Styela clava: one gene and its partner. The protein of the gene in region 2 interacts with the protein of the main gene of each other region in a pairwise test. Links are inferred from orthologs where the notes say so. Each region holds a gene or a part of one and is shown on either strand. Other genes may lie near its edges. The genes, in order: spermatogenesis-defective protein 39 homolog and vacuolar protein sorting-associated protein 33B-like.

Region 1 (12,040 bases), on a different chromosome or scaffold from region 2:
AAAACTTTGAAGATTTGAAAATGCGATCCTATCAGTACCCATTATATACAACTTAATTTTATAAACAACTTAATTTGCGAAATATCGTATTGGGGTAAAGCTCATATAGGAGTTATACAGATTACAGAGTATTTCCCCACATAAGGTTTACCAATTCATGTTTCAAAAGGATATCCTGAGAAGAATTATTATTATATATCAAAATTAGTTCATTGTCCTAAATCAATTCAAAAGCAAAAATTAATTTCCAAACTCAGTCTTTTGACAAGAGTCATCATGAACAATGAAGACTTCTACTGACCTCGTTTTAAAGTATTTCTCATGAATAATGTTATAGAAAGAATCGCATTTCCATCATGTCTTCTTATTGCAGCATCTAATAATGCTGTCTTGTCTTCAACTGAACGATACAGTTCTTTCACAACTGATTCACCGAGCTGGAAGAAAAAATGATCATGAAAAATTAGATAATTTTAGATTTTAAGCTAATTTTGATAATCGTATCGAGCATTTTCAAAGTCCATTTACAATTTCTATTTTGTTATAAAGTCAATTCTCAATATATCCTAACCAGGTTTGTTTCATTTTAATCTGTTTTATTTTTTAGGTATTTTATCTGGTACTCCCAAAGTATGTGAACCAAGATGGCGGACACCGGATTTTAGTTCTACAACGAGTTTGGGGACTAGCCAAGTGACTCCTGTGGTATTTGTACCTGAAATTATCGCGTACCCTAACCAGGTATACATACTACGAACCGGTGTCCACCATCTTGGTTCACATACTACGGTAGTACCTTTTTTCTTCATTTAATACGCCTTTATATATGACCACACTCAAACGCATGAATCACAAGTTTGAAGTTGAAAAAATTGCATAATTCAATATTTTATCAACCTTTTGATTATTGGACATGAAGTGTACTTTTAGATTTTGCTAAATTGTTGCGAGACAATCGCTTTCCCTTACAAAAAATGGAACAACCTATTTCAAATTCTCAATACTTATAGAAGGCTATTCCTTCATTTTTTTTTTTTTTAATTCCCTCTGCATCCTTTGGGGCCCAATAATTCACCCAATATTTTGCTGTTTTGATTCAATCCAAGTGAAAATATCTTACCATGAATCTTTTCAAAGTTTCTTGTTTAGAGGGCGCTGTTGCTCTTTCACGTTTTGCTTGGGTTAATTGTTTTCTCAAAGTATTTCTTTCTGTTTCTAGTTTTGCTAACACAGTTGTTGATACTCCTTGAGGTGCTGGGAATTATAAATTGAAGATTTGAAAATATAAGAAAACAAGGAGGTAACACTAATATACCTACAACATTAGTATTAACACGGTTTCTTGGGACCTCACCAGTGATGTCCGAAACAAATCGATATGCTCCAAATTTATTAAAAATTTTGAGTTTGGAATAATTTAGAATATTTTTATTTGGAAATTGAGAGGGATTCAGAGCCATCAGACAAGCAGATCAAAATGTATGATATCTCAACTAATAATAAACAACACAGAGAAAACAATGACCTTTCAGAATGTGTTCAAATTAGTGAAATATTTGGTTCTGGCCATTTCTGGACATCGCTCTCCAATTTCGGTTGACTGAGAATTAGGGCTGTCCAAGCGAACCAAATATTCGAAATCGAATGGAATCGCAAATTATTTCGAAGCGTTTTTGGACCGATTTAGAAATCGCTAAAATTTGGTACATAATGCGCCTCACGACCACCTTTGCACGACCGGCAAGCAAAAACATGTTTCTATCGCTTTCTTTGCTGTAAAAAGGTCTCTCCTATTGCCCGGTGACATGTAATTATCCATTCCATGCATGGTCATAAATGAAAAGTTATTGGTAACAATGATTTAAAGATGACGTTTTTTGAGAGAACACAAGGAGAAAAAGGCAAATTTTGTGTCAGCCAAAAAACGCCAGTTCTATAAATAGAATCGATTTGTAGCTGTTGTGTCAGTAATCATAGGAACATGGTACAGGACTGAATCAAGTTTTGGAGGTCCAATATCTTTTTCCAATAAAATTTATTACTATGACAAATAATTGCAATTTTGTGAGTTGATGGCTGTTGTACAGCAACAATATGGTCATCAAATATTAATGTCATCAAACTAGCTCTGAATTTGTGAGTTCCCGAAATGCAATTTTGAATTTTTTGGACAACAGTTATATCTATATTAATAATTGTTTTTATCATTTTACTGAAAATTACACTAAAAATATTGAGTTAATAATACTAATGATAATAGGACTAAAATAGCAACTACGAGCATTAAAAGAGTCTGTGCAATTTTCAACTCTCAAAACTTGATAGTTTTCAAAACCCTATTTTTTTGACCAGTTCAAGGAGGATTGTGTTCTCCTTTTATAACTCTGGAAACATAGTTATGCAAAATGTTTGCAATAATTTAGATATAACTGCACATAAGTTAACACAATATTGAAGAGGAAGTTTTTTTTTGTACATTAGATTAGAGACAATTAAGGATTGCGCAATAATATTCTTTTATTCGGTTCGATTCGAGAAAAATATTCGGTTCGATTCGAATCAAAAAAATATTCGAGTTTGGACAGCCCTACTGCGAATTCACAGTGTGGAGCAATTTTTCGAAATGATCAAAAATTGGGAATGAAACAATGAGCCACTACAGGTCAGCTATTTCACATAAAACTCACTTTCATTTTTACTTGATTCCAGTGGCGACACAACACTATTACTCATAGATGCTCCTCCCCGAGCAGAGAATTTTACAGACTGTAAAAAAAGAATAGTTTTACATGATGGAAGAATTGATATACGAACTTCAATTTAGTCTAATCAAGAGGTCGAAAGTGGGACAAGTGGAATATCATTCATTAACCCTGATTTTATTGAATGTGGTAAGAATCATATTTTAATTATTCCACTACACTGCCATAAGAAGTTTTTTATTAGATTTGATTTTTGGCAATTTTAGCGCCAAAGTATTCGAACTTGGGCAATGGATTTATTAAACTTGTCTGCAGGATTACCTGTAACTGGACATGACACTGTATTTTGGGACTTCTAGCAAACACTGCAAGAACAAAGTAAGATGCTTCTGAAGATGTAGTCAAATTTTTCCGGGATGCCTTTTCGAACTTGAAGGTTGCCTCCCAACTTTTGGTGCTCTCGAAGTATGCGAACCAAGATGGCGGACATCGGAACGTAACATGGGTAACAGGTTAGGGTTAGGCGATAATTTTTTTCCAATTTTCCTTATTTTAGTCCTATTATCAGTCCGAAGACTAGCCAAGAGCCTCCCTTAGTATTTATAGCTAAAATTATGGCCTAACCCTAACCTAGTACACATATTACATTCCGATGTCCGCCATCTTGGTTCACATACTTCGGAAGCCCCCAACTTTTTATAAACAACAAATTGAAAAACAAAAAAAATAAATAGAATCTGTCATCACCTGAGAAGCTGAGCCAGTCTTTCCTCGAAAAGCACGAGCTGAAACCGCCGTTGCAATAGTTGATGCCTTGGTCTTCTGTGATGTTTGAGAATGAGGTCTGAAAATCATATAAAGTAAAGACTTGAATACAGATAAAGATTTCTTAGAAATTTTATGTATTTTATTTAAATAGAATGAAATGGTCTTGTGGTCAGATTGCTGGATATTTGGTGAAGAACTTGGATTCTAATTCAAGGCAACCACATCAACCCCAGAGTGTGATTAATTGGTTATTAGGCAATGCCAAACCCGAAAAATATTTGTCTTTTCAAAAGAGTAGCTCTTTACATATTGTTTTGGATGCAAAAAGCTGAAATAAGCATCTTTTGATATTTGAAAAAACTCACTAAGATTTGTAAATTATTAGTCAGAATTTCAAAAACAAACTTCATTTCCTCGTGCATAGGTAGACCTACATAAATTATGTTTCAAGCTTATGTTTGTCTTATCTGAATTCTAAGGAAAATTCATAATATTTTACATATAGAGTGTTTTTCATTTACTTCACAAACTACTGATAGGCAGGAAAATACCCTGTACTAGATACACCAAAATCCTAAAAAATAATTTTCAATCAAAGAAGTTTGTGAAAAAAGAAAGCAATTTTTGCAACACAAAAAACGAGGGCACACTTCTTTTACCTACTAAAATATAAAACCATTCACCATTGGTCTGATATTTAAAGAAAAACAACATCTAGACTACAATGTAGTTAATATTCCATTCGATCACGTCATTGCAACACTCACCTGTCAGGATTAGCAGAAGATCCATCCCAATTAGTAACTTCTATTGTGTCTTCATCTTCTTCATCGTCGAAATTAAATTTTGTGAGTGCAGATTTATTCCAGTAGTCTTCTGAATCTTCCTGACTGGCATTGGACGGCTACATAAAAGAAGAAGAATTTGAAAGTATAATTAAATAAAGTGATGAGATTTATATTAGGCTCTGCTCGGAATCACCAAGAAAAACCCTCATAAGATGTCACTAGAACACATGCTACAAAAATTCAACAGATGATTCCAAACCAGGGATGGGCAAGATTTTTGGATCAGGGGCCAAAAATTTTGCCCACCTAGACTGACGGGCCATGTAAGTGTGACGTAAAAAGTTACATTTCATGAACAACAATTGTTACAAAAGCAAAGAAACAATAAGTCTCATACCAATTTTGATTGCAATCACAACAAATTTGTTAAGCTATTTTTTAGCTAAAACATCAAAATTTGGTTTTTGTTTAGTTGTGGCAGCACCCGACGGGCCATATTGAATTACCAAACGGGCCGGATTCGGCCCTCGGGCTGTAATTAGCCCATGTCAGTTTCAAACCCATTTATTGACATACCCATCAAGTTTATCGAAAACGTATTGAATTGAGTCACCTTGGTCGCTTTTCTTGCTGACATTTTTTCCTGCTTTTGTATATTCCTTTATTAATGCCAAACAACAAACATGAAAAATCCAATTCTGATTTCTCTATTCTATATCACCATTTTCATGTAAATAAATACAATTTACGCTAAAAAAAGGGTGTTGGCAGTGAAGTAAAAATGGGGAAAATAAGTGGAACATGATTTAAATAATATCGTCATAAAAAGACAATAAAATGCACATAGTATAAGAAAACGCCAATCCTAAGAGATTTCATATGGTTAGATAGCAGTGGATCCTTTGTATATGACCTTGTTCAGAGCAAAAGACATGTATATGCGCCTTATACACAACAGCGCTCTAGAAGCATGTGTACAAATATGGAGGTAACTAATTTTGTTCGCCTACTTTACATCAGGTTGTGTAAAGGGACTGACACCTATTGACATGGTAACAGAAGCCGTCCCCGAACTTGCAATAGAATTAAAATAAGGCAATCAGGATAAAACGTTGGCCTAACCTGGCACACACACTACAGGTGTACCCAAAACAGTTCCAACAATCTCTTAAACATAATCATCTCCACATTATTAACATTCACGCCTGCCATGATGTGTTATTAAGCAGGATGTTTCACAGAGCATTGATAACTTCCTTGTTTATTTCCTTTTCAATGACTAACCATAAACAAGTACACTGTGATGCAATTATAAATGAAATTTTGACCATCGCTCAGGCAATAGGTTGGCCCAGATTTTCAAGATTGCATGTAAATTATAAATGAATACAAAAATCCTATCCTATTTGGAGTCAAAGATCAAGGTAGTTTCTAAGCATCCTAAGGAATTTCCCATTAAAGCATACTGATGGGTCAAAGGTCAAGAGAATTTATTTTGAAGCATATTAAAATAAGAAACAATTAAATCATAGGAAGACCACTGTATATTGAACAATCTTGTAACAGGCCATTGATCGCACATTCTTCCGCATTCCCTGAATCATTTAAATTCAATGCCCTTGAATTACTGATTTCACACTTTCTTGCTTTGAAACAATGAAGAGCACAAAATGTCAAGCAACATCGAAACCAAGTCATTGATTTAGACTCTGTTATGGCAGATTTAGCGTCCTCAGACATGGTTAAAAATTCTCTTGTTATCGGACACGTTTCCTTTTTAACAAGCTCATAATTTTTTGAGGTTCGTACCTTTTCTACAAAACTAAAATCATCTTCGTTTAAAATATTTTTGTTTTTCCACAACCAATTTATGATAGTTTTTATAGGAATTTGATGAGTTTCAGTTTTTTCATTGTTTGAATTTATGAACCAGTGTTTTATAACTTTCATCATTTGCCTGCTTGATAATATTTTTTCATTCTGCAGAATTTTTTTTGAGTAATCTTGTCCCCCTTCCGAAAAAACAGCAGAATAAATTTTCAACAGAATCCATGTCAAGCGTAACTTATTGCTTTCCGCATCATCGAAATCAAGAAACCGTTCTAGGCAAGTTCTCAGTAATACAGAGTCTGACTCATTCTTAAACACACTTTTGTTAATAAGATGAAGTCGAATGGACTCAACCAAATCTAGTTTCATTTTTTCCTCTGCATTATTTTGTTCTACTTGAGCGCACAATGATTGAAAACATTCCATTCCGCTTTTAAGAGTTAAAATTTCCAAATACGCTGAATTTTCAACAAGTATAGATAATGATACTTTGGGTTTTGATCGTAAATTCGCAACAAAAGCTCCGTTAGGTGATAAAATATGATAATGCGTTGTTTCGTGAAAAACCATAGAAGATTGATTAGTCTGCTCCGATAAAACCTCATACTGTAGTCTTAGATTCTCCTCGGTAGATTTTTTCAAAACAACTTTAGCTTGACGACCATCTCTACTGATTGTAAGCCACGAAGCGGGTTGGTCTACAAATTGTATATTCACAACTGGAAGAATGTGTAACCCAATTAAAACTGAATGTGATATCAACGCAAGATCAGAAGATATTTTCATATATAAAAGCAAAGGTCCTTTTGCCACAAGCAAACCAGTGTCATCACCTTCATCAGTTTCTCTCCAATCAATAGCAGAAACCGTGAGCTGGTCTCTGTCGTTCCAAACTTCATTCTCTTTCAACAAATTTCCATCTAAGTCAATCTCTAAACAATTGACCACGCCTTCAATTCCCCCAATTGCTAGTTTGAGAATTTCTTCTTCATTCGATCCAATTTTCAACCAGCTAATACTTTTAATCCCTTTTAAATTTGTTTTAATGTAACTCACAATAGTCACAACTGAAGTTGAACTAATCGGCAGATGCAACTTCCAAATTATTACAAAGTTATTTTTCGTACCAGTGGCAAGAAATATAAATTTTTCATTGGAACTTTTTATGTATGTTTTATCCCACCATTCCATGCAAACAATACAAGGTGCATATTGTTTCTCGACTATATTCTGGGATTTTAATTTTTGTGTTGGGAATTTAATTTTAGGGTAATATTGTTCATTTTTAAGCAGAATTTTGACTAATATTTCAGTTAGATTTCTAATGTTGTTCCATTGTACAAATATACCATCAGAAGATTTTGAAAACAATTGAAGCTGATGCCCCATTGTCAAAGTGGCAAGAACAGTTCCGCTACCTACTGCACACCCTAGTGGTGAAAACTGAACCGCTCGGAATCCCATGTCTCCAACTTCTTCTGATCCATGAGATCTATTTATGCTAAGATCCATATGCATTCGATAAATTTCGAAGTCAGGGTAAGCAGAATTTTTGGACGGTACAGCACACAACATGTCATAATCATACATCATTTTCCGAGCTCCAGCGTCGTAATCAAGCGATTCAATCGGCGAGATGGCTTGGATTTTGAAACACATTTCCGAGCTGTTCACGTCATATAATGGATTCAGATCATATAGCATTACATTTTTACTCGTAGCAACTGCAATGCAATTATCTTTTGACCAGTCCAATACATAATCGCCAACGATCCTATCCCGCAAGTCTACATTGCTTGCAACAGATAAAACATTTGTCTTATTGTTACTGGTAGCAAGTTCCATACTGATGATAAGCTACCACACCTGAATAAATTTAAACATTTGAAATAGGAGTTTAGTTTTCCATAAGGGTGTACCTGTAAGTGTTGGACAAATACCGGTACACAGTACTGCAATAAAGCTGTGTAATAGACCCTATAGTAGATGATGTGTCCAGTTCGTTTCAAAGATAATTAATTAGTAAGTAAGTAAGTTTATTTCGACTCCATAATCAGCAATAGACGATAAAATATTTGATAAAAACATAACGAGAATGTCGGTCGGAGACTGAAGACTTATCGATCGAAACTGCGGTTTCGATTCATGACTCTATCTAAATATAGATAAGTAATAAATAAAACTGATTATAGAATCGAGAAAGCAAACGAAACCTCAAGTAAGTTTTAAAGTGTACAGATTTTAGGTGGGAAGGTATTGATAAAAGTAGTACTGTAGTAGTACGGTACGTGTTCGCTTATCCAAATTATTGATTATGTTCTGCAATATTCTGATATTTGTTTCAATATAAAATCTGAAAATATGTATTGTAATTTTGTGTACGTAGGCCTACATTGCAACAACTTAACCTTACGCCCTACGTTACCTAATCCAATGACTGTAGTCCAGACTAGAACCTTGAAAATTTGCTACCCTACCGGCTACCGCCATGTTCCTACTACATTACTAAAATAGCGATGTCCGTTACGCTTACGGTGCCGGTATGTCAATACAGTCTACTATAATGGTTATATCCACAATGAAATGACTTCGTCTCTACGAGAATAGTTATGTCGATACATCATTATGAGACTGTCGATTCCCGCTATGTCCCTACTAGACTATAACTGTGAATGAACGCCTCCTCTAAAATTGCTACGTTTCTTCTTTCGGCGTGAGCCGCTTGGAGGTAGGACGTATACATTTGTATCTTAATCAATCTTTGGTAATATGAATTTGGCGTAGTTTAAATTTACATCATCACTTCTGCTTTGCTGCCGTTTGCTACGTGCTGAGGAGTAATTGGGATTTAAAAAAAGATGAAAAAAGACTCCGCAAAATCTGGTATGTGCAAATACACCGGTATCGGTTCCTCTAATTACCGGAACGGACCCTAAATTACCGGAACGGGGTGGGAAACATACATAAACCTACCGGAACGGACCTTTAGATGTCTTGCATATGTCATTTCATATACTTCCATGCAATTTTTATAATAAATCGGCAAACTTGGGGGGACAGTGGTAAAAATCGACAATCAAAACCTTCTTGCATGTTATCAGCCTTTAATTTTCCTTGTAGATAAGATAACGGGGCTCGAAGCTGTGTTATCAGTAGAGAAATCAGCAGGAGCACTCTGAACCGTCCTCGCTATAAAGGCTATAGCGACAATCGTTTTCAACTCGTGGTCACCTCTCGCATTTTCCTATGCTGAAATTTTAAATTCAAGTATTTTGTCAAATATGTTCACGTACTTCAACCAGTTCCAATATAAAATGTTTAGCTACATAGTTACAATGTCTGCACAAAAATGTTTGTGAAAACAGTTTTTAACATATTAGTAAATTTTGAAGGAGTCATTTTAGAGGATCAGATTTGTATGTATGTAGATAAACAAGAGGACGATGCTCAAATATATGGACACGAAGCAATATGCAATATATCAAGGTAGATTACAGTGCCGGAACGGCACTTTTTACGGCTGACAGGAACGCGAACTAAAATAACAACATTTTCATTTTAATGACAGGCTTAGGTGGATATTTATGTTGTGCTACATAGTCACAACACCTGCACAAGAATGTTTGTGGAAACAATTTTTATTTGTTTCAATCTGAATCTATGACTACGTTATCTTATCTACAAGGAAAATTAAAGGCTAATAACATATAAGAAGGTTTTGATTATCGATTTTTATCATTAATTCATATTGATAAGAGATGATACAGGAATTGATTGCTCAATTTACATCCACTAGGCGGCGCAAAATGAAATTGGTATTTTCTACCATTTATCCCCCCAAATTTTCTAATTATATTTGAGAAATCGCTTAGAAGAACATAAAATATCCTTTGCAAGATTTATACAAGTCCGTTCCGGTAAGTTTAGGTAGGTTTTTCACTGCGTTCCGGCAATTTAATTCGTTCCGGTAATTAAAGAAAATTATTTTTACCACTGACCCCCCTCCTCCCCTCCCAAGTTTGCCGATTTATTATAAAAATTGCATGGAAGTATATGAAATGACATATGCAAGACATCTAAAGGTCCGTTCCGGAAGGTTTATGTATGTTTTCCACCCCGTTCCGGTAATTTAGGGTCCGTTCCGGTAATTAAAGGAACCCCAAATATATAATTGGGTTTAGTAGGCTACAATACATGTCTCAAGTCACAGCTAGAAGCATGGAAGGGTAAACAGGTGAAATACTAGAATTGAAAACTAAACAAAAAGTAATAGCGCCGAAGATAACAACTTGGTTAGTGGAAACAAATGGAATACAACAATTAGAAACAATCAACATTCTAAATGATGAACAACGAAATAATAGGATTCGGATAATAAAGACTACTTTGGCATTGCTGTACGGGTTACCCAAGATTCCAATTTTACATACTTGCTTCGCAAAGAACTAAGGAAAAAGAGATGGACAGACAGGCATTTTATATGAAACATTGCACCTAGTGTACAGCACATCACAACGTCGGATTTTATTTACAATGAGGAAATCAACCAAAAGACATTTCGATTTTTATGAGCTCCTGCAACCTTACTCTGTGGATATTATTTTGGCAATATCTATTTTTTCCTCTTCTGCTGCCAATAAGTGGTTATGTACCACCTAGAACACCAGCATAATTTGAATTTTCTACTGTAACATCAATGTTTCACTTTTGCTCATGGAATTTCTTTGTGTGAGTGTGTAACTGAGATTGCTTTTACTGTTTTAATAAATGGTTTTACACCTCCATGTTGCCTGCCAATATTGACAGTGTTTGGATATTGTTTTGGTAAATAGTTCCAATGTATATAGCTTTTTGTGTTTTTTCCTGTGTTACTTCGAACCAATGAGCATATATACAATGAGTGGAAACTTGCAAAGATTTGCTCATTTTGGTATTGTTCCCTGCATTTTTTACGTCGTCCGGCTAAATGGTTCGTTGCATATTAAGAAAACGCATTGCTCGCTGCCAAGATCCCTTGCTTCAGCCGAGTCGGGTGCGAAATTGGCCGTATTGAGGTCTTTAATTCTTCAATACATATTTGGTTTTGGGTTTCGAAGTATGGTACGCTGAAAGCATACAACTATGGGCATATGCTTATTGGGAATGCATATCTATTAGACAGAAAACGTAGCTACAGTACAGAATATGAACCAGTCGCCCAGTGGAGTGCGGTTATTTATGTATTTATTAGGATAAGGTCTCTCAGAGAAGAACCACGGTCTCTCGTCCGGTTACCATTCCAAGTCGGGTATGGGATTAGTTATATTGTTTGTTTTCGGAAACATGGACTTGAAGCATGGAATATGTAGAAAAATATAGAGAATTATAGAATAAACAACCCATTTGAGAGGGAATTGAAAAATTTATGTGAAGCGTTATTTCAAAAAGAAAATTATATGTTTATGATATGTATTTTATATTTACTAATTTCATTTTTATTGTTTTATATCAATGCGTTTATTAAAATAACCTAATTATGGTATGGATTACTACTGGAATTGAACAAAATAAATACTGAATCATGGATGCAAAATGGAATATGAACTTATTTATATTATATTATTTTAACCGTAATTAAAATCACTCATTGAGTGAACGAATGAGCATACTGTAATGCTTATTGGGAATACATACCATCTATTAGGCAGAAAACTTAACTACAGAACAGAATATGAACCAGCCAAGTGGTGACCTGGGATATTGTATTCATTGATATAGATAGAGATAGTTTATTTTGAAAAGTTCACAATCTGACAATACAAACAAATAAAAAATGGAGAGTTCTGGAGAGCGAGCAAAACCTTTAAAAAAGTATAAAACACGATGAGTATCATGTGCCCGCCGTGTTATAGCAAGTAGTAATGTGTAATGAATTTAATTCACTATGGTAAATGAATTGCTATCTTTTTATTT
Region 2 (11,181 bases):
ATAATAGGATTTTGACATCGTGTGGCAGGTTGTTCGACATTCCATCAGTGCCTTGTAGTCGATTACCAAGCAGTTTGGTAACGAACTTCCGGCACAAACATTCCAGCAGTTGAGTCCTTTCAATTCAATGATATCAACCGTTTGGATACTACATGACTAGTTATGTGAAGGTCGTTCTATAAAAGAATTCAACATCCTTGTTCCATTGATAATTGCAGTGGTAGCAATAATAAATCTGTATCCATTTTTCCTTCCCAAAAATCTTAATGCCGCTATTTCAGAGTATGTAACACCTCCAATAAAATAAACCAACACCACTTTTGATGACGAGTCTGTTCCAAATCCCCCACTCCCAGCACCTTTGCCTTTCGCAGATTTAGCTTCTAAACGTTCAAAGCACTTTCCTGGTAAATGGCGCATTACATCTTCTAGTCCACCCCAACCTTGTCTTTGCAATGCTTGCTCCACGAGCCTGTCATAATGAGAAAAAATATAATTCAGACCCAAGTTAAAAACAATAGTATGGTATAATGATCATTCAATTAATTATTAGTGAGCAAATACAAATCGCATTTGTGTAAGTTAGAGTTATAGTATATCTTGATATCATATATTCATGATCTTGTACCGTAACGGAAGGCATGTGATGAGGCAGAGATAGGAACATGGAGTTACCAAGTTAAACTATTAAGTATATATATAGCCTAAACCAGGAGTGCTCAGCATGGGGCATGCATGCCCTATGTGGCACGCCATAAGATTAAACGTGGCACGCCAAAGGTTTGGTACAAAGTAATGTATCTATTTATAATAAATCATATTAACTCAAGTTAAAACAAAAAAACTTAAATCGTTGTGTTTATTCACACATTGCTAGATTGTGGCCGTGTTATCAAAAGGTAGTAGGTAAAAATAAGGCCAACCTACAGTAGCGAGCAGTTACTAGTTAGGTATAGGTAAAACATGATTATTCTGACTAGTAAAATAAACCCTGTTGGGTGTTTTAATAATTTAAATCAGCAAATTCATTCAAACATGCAGAGCATTTAGATTCAGTAGTTTGCATCTCTATCTCCTCTGAATCCCAACATTTCAAATTTGGCCCATCACAAATATCATCAAAACAGCAGTTTTTCATGACATTAAAATATTTCAGTAAATAGGTATTCATTATTATGTTTACAATACCAACAATTATTTAAAAATTTCAAACGTGACATGGCACAAGAAAAGATTATTCTGACAATTTTGGCATGTATGCTCATTTGAGTTGTGCACCCCTGGCTCAAATCATGTTATACTGATATTAGAAGGTGGAGATTTTGATACAACAGCTCAAAGAACAGGTCCAACAATCAATTCAGTAATTTGGATTAGATAATGTAACTGTTCAAATGCAATTTGTCAAATATTTGCTGTATTTTTAAAATCAAAGCTTAACAAAATTACTAAAAACTCAAATATTAATCTATTATTATCAAATATTATTTACTTCACTTGTTTTATATGAAAACTGCCAACATGTCAATATCCCAAATATACACCTGCTTAAATCAAATATATTTTGTCCTTATCGTTATCCATCTCCGTCACAGAAACCACCACTCACCTGCATGTCAATGGAACGTACGCACCACCAAAAACATAGGCCATATCTTCTGGATTTTTCAGGTTATATTGTCCCGCAGTATTTTTTGGAATGAGACTTAACTTCTTACTGACGGTTCTAAACCAGTCTCGCTTCTGTAGAGAAGCTAATGAGCTAGCAACGTATGATACAGCAGGACCCATCACTGCCTTTTCAGCATATTTATTGAGGTTTGCTTCAATGGAAGTTGTTGACTGCCCTTCTTTTTGTGCCTCTGTTAACAAGCCTGCCTGTAAAACCAAAATTTGGTGGGATGACAAGTAGGCAAGAAACGCTAATAGGTAAATTTTCTTGTTCTCACTGATACTTTAAAACTCATATCAGGCTTTTCTCAATGTGATTGGCACTATGTCTACATAATAAAGTCGTGTTAAATGCCACATAGCTAAACAATTCCTTTGTAATCTGAATTTCTTTTACTAGAATGCAGTGAATACATTTAAGTCATACAAGAATCAATTAGATTTTAACACAAATTTGAAAAGCTTCTTACCTTCTTCAAATTAAATAAAGTCAACATATATTCATAGCCATAACTCTGGAGAAATTGGTGTCGAATGTTTTGTAGATCCTTAGGTAATAAACCACTAGATGTGCATGAGAGTAAGCAAATCAACCTTAATGTTAACAATATGTCATACTGTCGATGAATGCATTCCTCCACATAAGACATGCACTCTCTTGACTCAACTCCTTCTAGTAGGTCTGAAATCATAAAATACAGGTACAATTGGTTAACTTAATCTATTATACAACTTGATTGTTAAAAACTAGAATTATTGAGAATCATTAACATTTTCTATTGCACTGATGATGTATTGTACCCAGATGGAGATTAGCCAGATAATCCTGATTAGGTCTATATTTGATCAATACAGAATTTATTTTCTATACCCAATACCAAGAATTTATTTTCTATACCCAATACCATGGTGTGGTTCGACACCGATATCAAAAATATACCATAAATAAAATTAATGACAAACTCATATTAAGAGAATAGAAAAATAAAGAAAAAATTTTCATCTCTATAATATTAAGGTCTGTTTCATGGCCCAAAATTTATTGAGAAGCATCAAAATACTGTATTTTTGGTCCTGATTATGTATCTTTGATATAGATAGAATCACCCATACAATACACTTACAGTAGACACACTGCAGTGAAGCGAAAACTTGATATTTTGATAGTATGGGTATAAACAATTTGATGGCAAAGATATAAATTTACTTCACATTGACACAGGAGTCCATACATTATGATTATGCTATCACCAGCTCAATACATGACATAGGAAATATTCAAAATAAGCGAAATAAGATGAGAGTCGCTAAAATATGCACTTCAAAGTATTTATCACTTACGATGCTCAATCCTAAGAACATCTTGTAGATCCCCTTTCTTGAGCGAACCTTTCGTTTTGCTTTTCAGAATCACCTCACTAGCACCTATGTGTAATGTTATTGATCTATGCACCTGCTTTAATCCCTTCAGATCTTCTTGGACAAATTTCTGCATGGAGTTAGAAAATTGACAAAATTTAGTTATGGAAAAATCCCCATAATAAATATATTTACATGTTAAATGGGTAAGGATGACCCAGGAATGCTTATAAAGATGAGTTTGAGGAAGTTGGCGCAACAGAAACACACCATCAATAACAATAAAAACAATAGATGCATGGATATGAATACTCTTGAATGCCAAAAACGTCAAGTTTTTCAGTTGGACCTTCGTAAAATTGCTAAATAATAATGCCTCTCCATCTTACCATATGTGTCATGATGAAGAGTCACTCTTTCATGAATAATGGATCAAAACAAAATATAAAACAAAAAGTACCTTCAAATTGCTCAATTCTTTCATGTCATGTCTCTTGTCATATCCAGCTTGAACCTCTTTTGCTTTCACACTCAAAAATTGAAACACATTAGTGAAATGTCTGAAAAGAAATAATATTATGAAATACGTCAGATTTATAGCTGAGTATAAAATATTTTGTGAGTTATTTTGTATTTTAAACTACATATTACCTATCTCTTATTTCTTGAAAAATCTCATCACTAGAATTTAACACAGTTTTAACACTCTTCTCTGACCCAGTCACCTCTTCTCCAAATTCTATCACTCCACATTTGATTTCAAATATGTCATCCAATAAGCCTTCATATGTGACCTACACAATAAATTGACATGAACATTACATTGCAAAGTATATGGCAGCACTGTGGCATTTCACTTTCAGGTTTATTGAACATATCCAGTGGTCATCAGCATGCAAATGTTGGCATGTTGCTTTCATCACTTAATTAAGAATCAATCTTCAAATGTTTTCCAGGGGGGTAATTTTTTGCATTCATACATTTTTAATTTCAAGAGGTTGATTGTGATCATGTTACAACTTCAGCATATCGATAATTGAAGAGACCTACATATCTAGTAAGCTGAATATATCTAGTAAGCATGTTGGTGAAGACCTAAAATTTAGGCAATTTTAGACAAGATCATAAAGAAAACATCTGCTTCAACCACATTCTTTCAACAAATGTATGTACCTGTGAACAAAGTGGTGTAACATAGTCGACATCTCTATCTATCAATACAAGATGTCCAATATTGGTCTCCAATGAAGTTCGTTTTTCTTCCAATTCAACTGTCAGTGTTTTAACAAGATCATCAACCATCGAAGCAGAATTTCCTTGACCATAAATGTTTGGAATAGAACCAAAAATCGCTTGCAAGTTTACAATAGATCGTGCAACTGTGTGCAACCATGTCTGATCTCCATCCTGAATTACAAAATAGAAAACTGGTAGCCATCTTTTAGCTCTTAGTTTCGAATTAGGGGGTGCCTCCTCTCCATATTTAGGTCTGCCTGTTAGAACTAAATTATTACAAAAATATGATTTTCTTAAAACCTTGAAATGTGACATAAGCTAATTTGCATTGTGTAGGTTAATAGTTGCTTTAAACCGAATCCCATATGATCAGAGAACAAATTGCATGGAACTATGCAATAAAAAATAAACGATACTTTCATATGCATCATAAGTGAAATAAAATGAAAGAATGGTAGGAGCTTGATTAGTTTTGTGTTAATCTCCATCCCTAATTGGTGTATGCCCTTACATAGGGCCGCCAATGAATTGAGTGCCCTTTCGAGTGGGATTTATTCATATAGGCTCAATAACTTCTTTAGTTTTAAATAAATTACCATAAAAAATGAGTTTAAGAGTTGAGGTAATTCCAGTGACACAATATCAACATCTACAGGGATTAAATCAATATGTAGATCTTCTATTGTTAAAAATCCTATAACACCTTCTTGTTCTAGCACCATTTCACAAATAGACAAACGTCTTGGAACCATCAAAACTCTATATTTTCGAAGTTTTTCTGAAAAATATCAAAGAAAATTAAATAATAATTTGATGTTTAATAATAATTTGAAAATTTTGATGTGCAAATCAGTACAGTAGTAGGTGCTTTCATGAATCACTATGTCATGATGTGGATCTGCAGCTATTGTCTGTCAGGTTTCACGGGAATCTGAACTTATATTGTCATAACAGGTAATAATAAAGAAATTTTCACCTGATCGTTTGTCCGATAGTACATGTGCAGCAATATGCTTCATATTGTTTATTTCGGGACGTACAATATAAACTCGTTGATCACATCCTCCAAGTATTTCCTTATGCTCCAATTTGAATATTTTATCTACTCCTCGTTGCTTTAGAAAAGTTAAGCCAGTCAGCCGATCAAGAGGTGTCATAAGATCTGGATCTATGACCAAGTCCTTTTTTCCATAGAAGTTTTCAAGCAAGACTGTGAGCTGTTCTTGAGCATAATCCTTCAACACGCTCATATCAGGAATTTTCGGTTGCATAGACGACATCTTTCAGTCTTTCCTTTAATATTGAATTACATGAATTACTGGATCACAAATCACATGAAATTATAGATTCACATTCCTCCAATACTAGAAAACCAGGATGTTTTATGATATCTTATTATATTATCAGACTACCGTACCTGTGCTGTTGATATAACCAAGTTTCGAATATTAATTAATTGAATCTTTAAGCAAGGTCACACACGCATTCTGACATTCTTTCTGTTCTTTTGGAAATCAAAATAAATAACCTCAATCTATTGCCTTATTGCAGTATTGGGCCAGGCCCAAATACTGAAATATATTGAGCCACCGCCATACTCCCATAGCCATGGCCCATACTGCCATAGGCAACCCGGTCTCGGAAACTTAAAGTTAAAGCAGTCAAGTCAATACAGCAATACTGCAAAATGCAGATATGGTAAATGAAATCAAATTCAGAAATTAACGACTGGCAGACTGGAATCAATTGAGATACGGTAGCATATGAACTGTATACAAGACTGAAATGGTGAAAGAGGGCATCAATGTTTATGTGGTACCGGTACAGTTTTATGCCCACAATCAGACAATGAAATGTTAATGCTGTGCCGTAATATATGAGAAAAGAGACAATCTATCCACACGCAATTTACTATTATTGCCAAAATTGAGCTTACATATTACAGTATTCCAGTATTATCAAAATAAGTCGAAGCTTTATAGAAGATAAGCTTACTCGCAATGCGAGTCCGCAATGCAGCAATGGAACTCAACACTGTGCTTTTTTTACCTATCGATATCGATCGGTAAGTACTTTGATAGGTATATGTCTGTCTGTTTGTTGTTAGACACTTTCGTATGTTACGCGATATCTCACGAAAGCGAGTGTGAATCTGCTCCAAATTTTGCATGTGCATTCATCATATCTCTGACCAAAAGCCTGTTGATTTTGGATGAATGATAATTCGATGTCGTATAATTAGCGAGTTATTAATTAATTAGTGATGGGACACGCGGTGTCGCTATCGAGTCAGAGCGGAGAATACACACCGCTAGATCGATAAGTCGGCGGTCTTCGATCGCTATCTCGTTTCCTTCATCAATCTGTCAATGAACTTGATTAATCCTGTAATCAGAGTCATACTTTCTTACTACAACTCTTCGAGTTTTCCTTTTTTTTTTTTTACTTGATCGTTACCTTTTCTTTTGGAAAAATTATCCATGTTGTGGCTTACAAGAATCAAACAAAGTCGTAAATGTCTACCCGAAACCCAGAAATTAATAATCTGCCTAGTAGTGTACCGATACTGAAATTATTAAGGGAGATACGACGAAAATTTTTTATTGTTACCGGTCTCATTTTCGGGGAAACACTGTATATGTCAGACATGTTCGCATGTTTGAAGCGCTTACGGTCCCGTAATACAAAAGTACAGAAGTCTTTGCAACCGCCTACGGTTAATTCTTAATTTTTATGTGGACCGATATCCGATCACGGCGATACATAATATAAAACTTTGAGAGCGTAATTAGATCCCAAGATAAGTTTACAAAAAATCGTGTTTACCTCATATTATTTTTACTTACTCTAATTCCTGACACTTTAAATCATTCTTAACTTTCATTGAGCAAGTAAATTGAAGAGATAGAAATACAAGAAAAAATCTATTATCACTCATCAACAACCTTTTATTAAAAATACTACCGGGAAGATGAAAATTTCTCTGTATAACTAATATTCATGAAATTGATAAAAATAATCATAAAAAATATGACACTGGCAAACAAATATTCACCAAATTGGCATGTTACTTTATTAAAATCATGGTCTAATAAACAGTTCAATAAAAATAAATAGAAAAAATAAAAAAGCCGAATGAAGATAAAAAAAAACGGCCAAATAAAATATACGTTAAATGGGAAGCATCATTGCATAGAATTAGCGATGTTCACATGACATTAGAGTAAATGTTTTCATAGCAAGTGTTTCAGTTCTAACCAATCTGACGACTTTCCAAGTGAATGTCTTTTGCACCAGTCTGGATCATGGTCCAATTCTAGAGCTACTTCAGCTAAAAAGTCAATAAACTTGTGCATTTCTTCCTGAGAATCAGAAAATCCTTCGTTCCATGAAATGTGACGCATTTGCGTTATATTAAACGATGCTACATCAAATGTAACTCCTCTATACGTCACCAAGTACTGATCGCTGATATTTTTGTGTGGTATTTTATGAGTACGATTGATCCGTCCTGAAGTTTTATCTTTCAACTCAGGTGCAGAGGATATTAGACTAAAGGAATTTGAATTAATACGCGTATTTGACATTGAGGCATGAGCTGACTTCATTTCATGATCCGTATCAGATAAAGTATGATATCCATCGTCCTTCAAGGTGGAATTATCTTCGTTCATCGATCCGACTAGTCTCTGAAATTCTTGTTCAGACATGGGAATGCCTACAAGACGATTTTTTGGTCTATCCAATATAGGAGAGCGAATCATGCCAAAATTTCCTGGCTTTCTATTCAAATCATAATCCTTTATAATATTAGATCCCGTTACATGAATGTCTTCGTCACACGATTGCACAGTTTTTCGATTAAAAACGGATCTGCTATTTTTGTCTTTCTTTCCAGTGGGACGTTTATCATCGGTATATCTGGTTTCATTTATTGTCTGCTCAACTGCGCTCTCTGAACGCCCACGTCTTGCTGAAGTTTCAGATCGGTCAGAATCGATGGAAGGACATATTGCGGGAACCGTGCGAGGTTTCAGGTTTTGTTTTAAGGTTCTTTTCACCGGTGTAGATGTCGCAAAATTTTCCACCGGTTTTGTCTTTTCTTCGGAAATGTCAGTGATGCTACGACTTCCTTTCTTTAACAGACAATTTTTTATTGACGACAATTCCAGTTTTTCCAGAGTACCATCTCTTTTGTCGAGATTAGTTGTGGCAGATTCTCCTACAATTTTATCACAAGGTACAGTCAATGGTTGACGTTTACAAACCGGATTCTCATTATCAACGGTCTGCCGTGGAGACAGTTCTCTATTGGTATCCGAGGCGCCTTGATCTTTTCTTTCAATGGATTTGCGCAACGCTGAATTGTCAGCTTGTAGATGTTGAAAAGTCAATTCTTGTTGATGATACGCCGATTTCAGACGTTGGAAGTTGGAATACATTCGGTTATATGTATTGTTTTTTCTAACAAACTCTTTCCTGACATTAGTCAAAGATTGCTTCATATTCTCATTTTCCTTCATCAAATCATGTTTTTGTTTTTTTATTTCATCATATTGCATGATAGGAACGTTACACTCGATTGATTTGTCTTGTTTCTGAATGTTTCCTGGTTTGAACTCATTTGTCATCTGAATGAGAAGAGATTCAATTCTCTTCATGTCGACCCGCAGATCAGCATTTTCTTTTTCCATTGATTGACAGATTTTAGTATTTTTCTCCAATAACACTTTCATTGATGAATGCGATTGAGACAACAAGGTATAGTTTTGTTTGCTAATGCACCCAAGCATTCCTATTTTATAAGCATCATTCTTAAATATCTCTTCACTTTCATCTTTCTCTCGTCGATGTAAATCTCTTGTCTGTTCTACTGTTTCATGCGCTGCATTCAATTCTTCTTTCAACTTGTTGTTCTCATATCTTAGTCGGATCATCCTGGCTTCACAAACTTCATCTTTGTTTTTTAAAAGATTTTGCCAGACACATTTCTCACGTTCAAATGCTTCAGTACGTTCCTTCAGTTGTAGTTCATGAGCAGTAGCGGCAAGTGAAGCTGCAACTTGCACGTGATCGACAAAATTGAGCAGATTTTTAACTTTGTTCCACATGAACGTTGAGCTTTCATTAATATTTTGTAAAGACAGTTTACATTCGAAAAGTTCACCAAGCTTCTCATATCCACGTTGAAAAAGCTTCAAATCAGTCTCTAGATTTTGCAAGAATCTTGCTCTACTCTCTTGGTTTTTTATTCTTCTCAAAACGCCCTCTTTCAGAGAGATTTCCTCTTGCCACTTTTTCTTGTATTCCTCCACTTTATCTAAAGCTGACGATAAAGCACGTGATGAGATACGAAGATCATCGGTTTGTTCCTTCAAGGTGGATGAACATGAATGCAACCGATTGCGCATTTTATCTGCATGAGCTCGTGTGATGTTAAGTGCCATCAAAGCATCTTCCAGCTGGCGTCGAGACGTGTTTGTGCTGGAACGATCATTACTTTCCTGAATATAACAAATATATTTTTATCATTTTGCTCTTAGCAGATTTCTTTTTTTTTGTTCTATATTCGACCTCTCAAACTTACCATTACAGTCTGATCCGCAGATTGACCAGTGTTGTTTTTGGTCTCCAGATTAACAAATTTTTGTTGTACTTTCAAACGCTAAAATAAACACAATAAATGTTAATAATTTGATACCATTGGGTTACTATTTTCATGCATATTGCAGTCGTAGTGAATTGAAATAAAATAATTACCTTGTCTTCGCAAGCGTTTGACATGAATTTAACTTCGGATTTTATTTTACATCCAGTACTTGCATCTCCACCATCTCGTTCCACACGAGGTGTATTTTTGACGACCGCTGACAACATACTCTCTTTTTCAATTGGTCGGCTATTCCAAGAAAGCTTTCTATCGGTTTCTGAAATGTGCAATTGTGAAGTTATATATTTGGAAATTCTTTGCTCCGTTACAAATGTTTCAAATATGATATTTTTGAAGAATTGAAAAAATCATACGTCTGAATTGTGCATACAACATTAACAGAATTTGTGAAAAAAATTCATCTTATATTAATAATCTATTCATTGAAAATATATATTATTTTTCAAACAGAATATGAATTATCAACGCAACATTAAACTGATTCTTGGCAAGAAATAAAACTGCAGACCAAGTAGTCAATTTTGTGTCTAACATCTATATTTGGATAAAATAAAAATCAGCACATAGCTTATTTATATAAATACAATGACCCCAAGTCAAGTGTATACATACCATCGTATTTACATGCCGATTCATTTGTACTTTTCTGAAGATGTATGCCAACGCGGGGACAGAGTTCATCCTTATTATCAAACTCTTCATCAGTAGCTGACATATTTGAGGATCTTTCAACAGTTTCCTCATTCATACTTACAGATTTGTCTGCAAGTTTTTCGATTTGTATTCCAACGAGTGAATTTTATTCAAGCAATTGGCGTCTAAAAACAACCTTGAAACGTGAATGTTCAATTGTATTTAGTACCAAACGGAGATAAAAAAAATACATAATAAAAAACGAAAATGTGCCAATTGTGTCCAAAAGTTATTTTGGACCTGACACACAGAACTTTTGGCACAAGCATTGCGTTCGCGTTCGATCTTGCGTCAGCAGTTCTATCACAAAAGTTTCCAGAAATGGATGATACTTTTGTGGGTAGATTTCATGTCTGTTTCTGTTATAATATTTGCGAATATATATTTAATAAAACTTCGTCTTGTATCGAGTTTATCAATGTATATTTCCATATTTCTGACATGTTTTCAGTGGTTCAACGTTGCAATACGATATACATCGTTACAAAACCACCTCTATGCAAATTGATCTAGGTATTTATATTTTTCATAAGCCTAACGTTATATTTAAT

What was found.
Region 1: the proteins of vacuolar protein sorting-associated protein 33B-like (region 2) and spermatogenesis-defective protein 39 homolog interact in binary tests that used the Homo sapiens proteins (3 or more experiments, as listed by UniProt). The link is inferred for Styela clava from reciprocal best matches to the Homo sapiens genes VPS33B and VIPAS39.

Annotation. Positions count from the first base shown.
Region 1 is NC_135250.1:4,101,088-4,113,127, forward strand, and holds the start of spermatogenesis-defective protein 39 homolog, read right to left. Parts: upstream 5,014-12,040; 5' UTR 4,896-5,013; coding exon 4,872-4,895; intron 4,375-4,871; coding exon 4,238-4,374; intron 3,547-4,237; coding exon 3,450-3,546; intron 2,767-3,449; coding exon 2,688-2,766; intron 1,255-2,687; coding exon 1,121-1,254; intron 438-1,120; coding exon 302-437; intron 1-301. Other genes in the region: general transcription factor 3C polypeptide 4-like, read right to left, coding at 5,780-7,933.
Region 2 is NC_135251.1:15,320,334-15,331,514, forward strand, and holds the start of vacuolar protein sorting-associated protein 33B-like, read right to left. Parts: upstream 5,700-11,181; 5' UTR 5,547-5,699; coding exon 5,243-5,546; intron 5,045-5,242; coding exon 4,863-5,044; intron 4,438-4,862; coding exon 4,204-4,437; intron 3,825-4,203; coding exon 3,682-3,824; intron 3,591-3,681; coding exon 3,491-3,590; intron 3,161-3,490; coding exon 3,013-3,160; intron 2,354-3,012; coding exon 2,142-2,353; intron 1,879-2,141; coding exon 1,610-1,878; intron 473-1,609; coding exon 157-472; 3' UTR 1-156. Other genes in the region: uncharacterized protein LOC120336189, read right to left, coding at 7,500-9,770, 9,854-9,931, 10,027-10,193, 10,550-10,685. UniProt on the Homo sapiens protein: May play a role in vesicle-mediated protein trafficking to lysosomal compartments and in membrane docking/fusion reactions of late endosomes/lysosomes.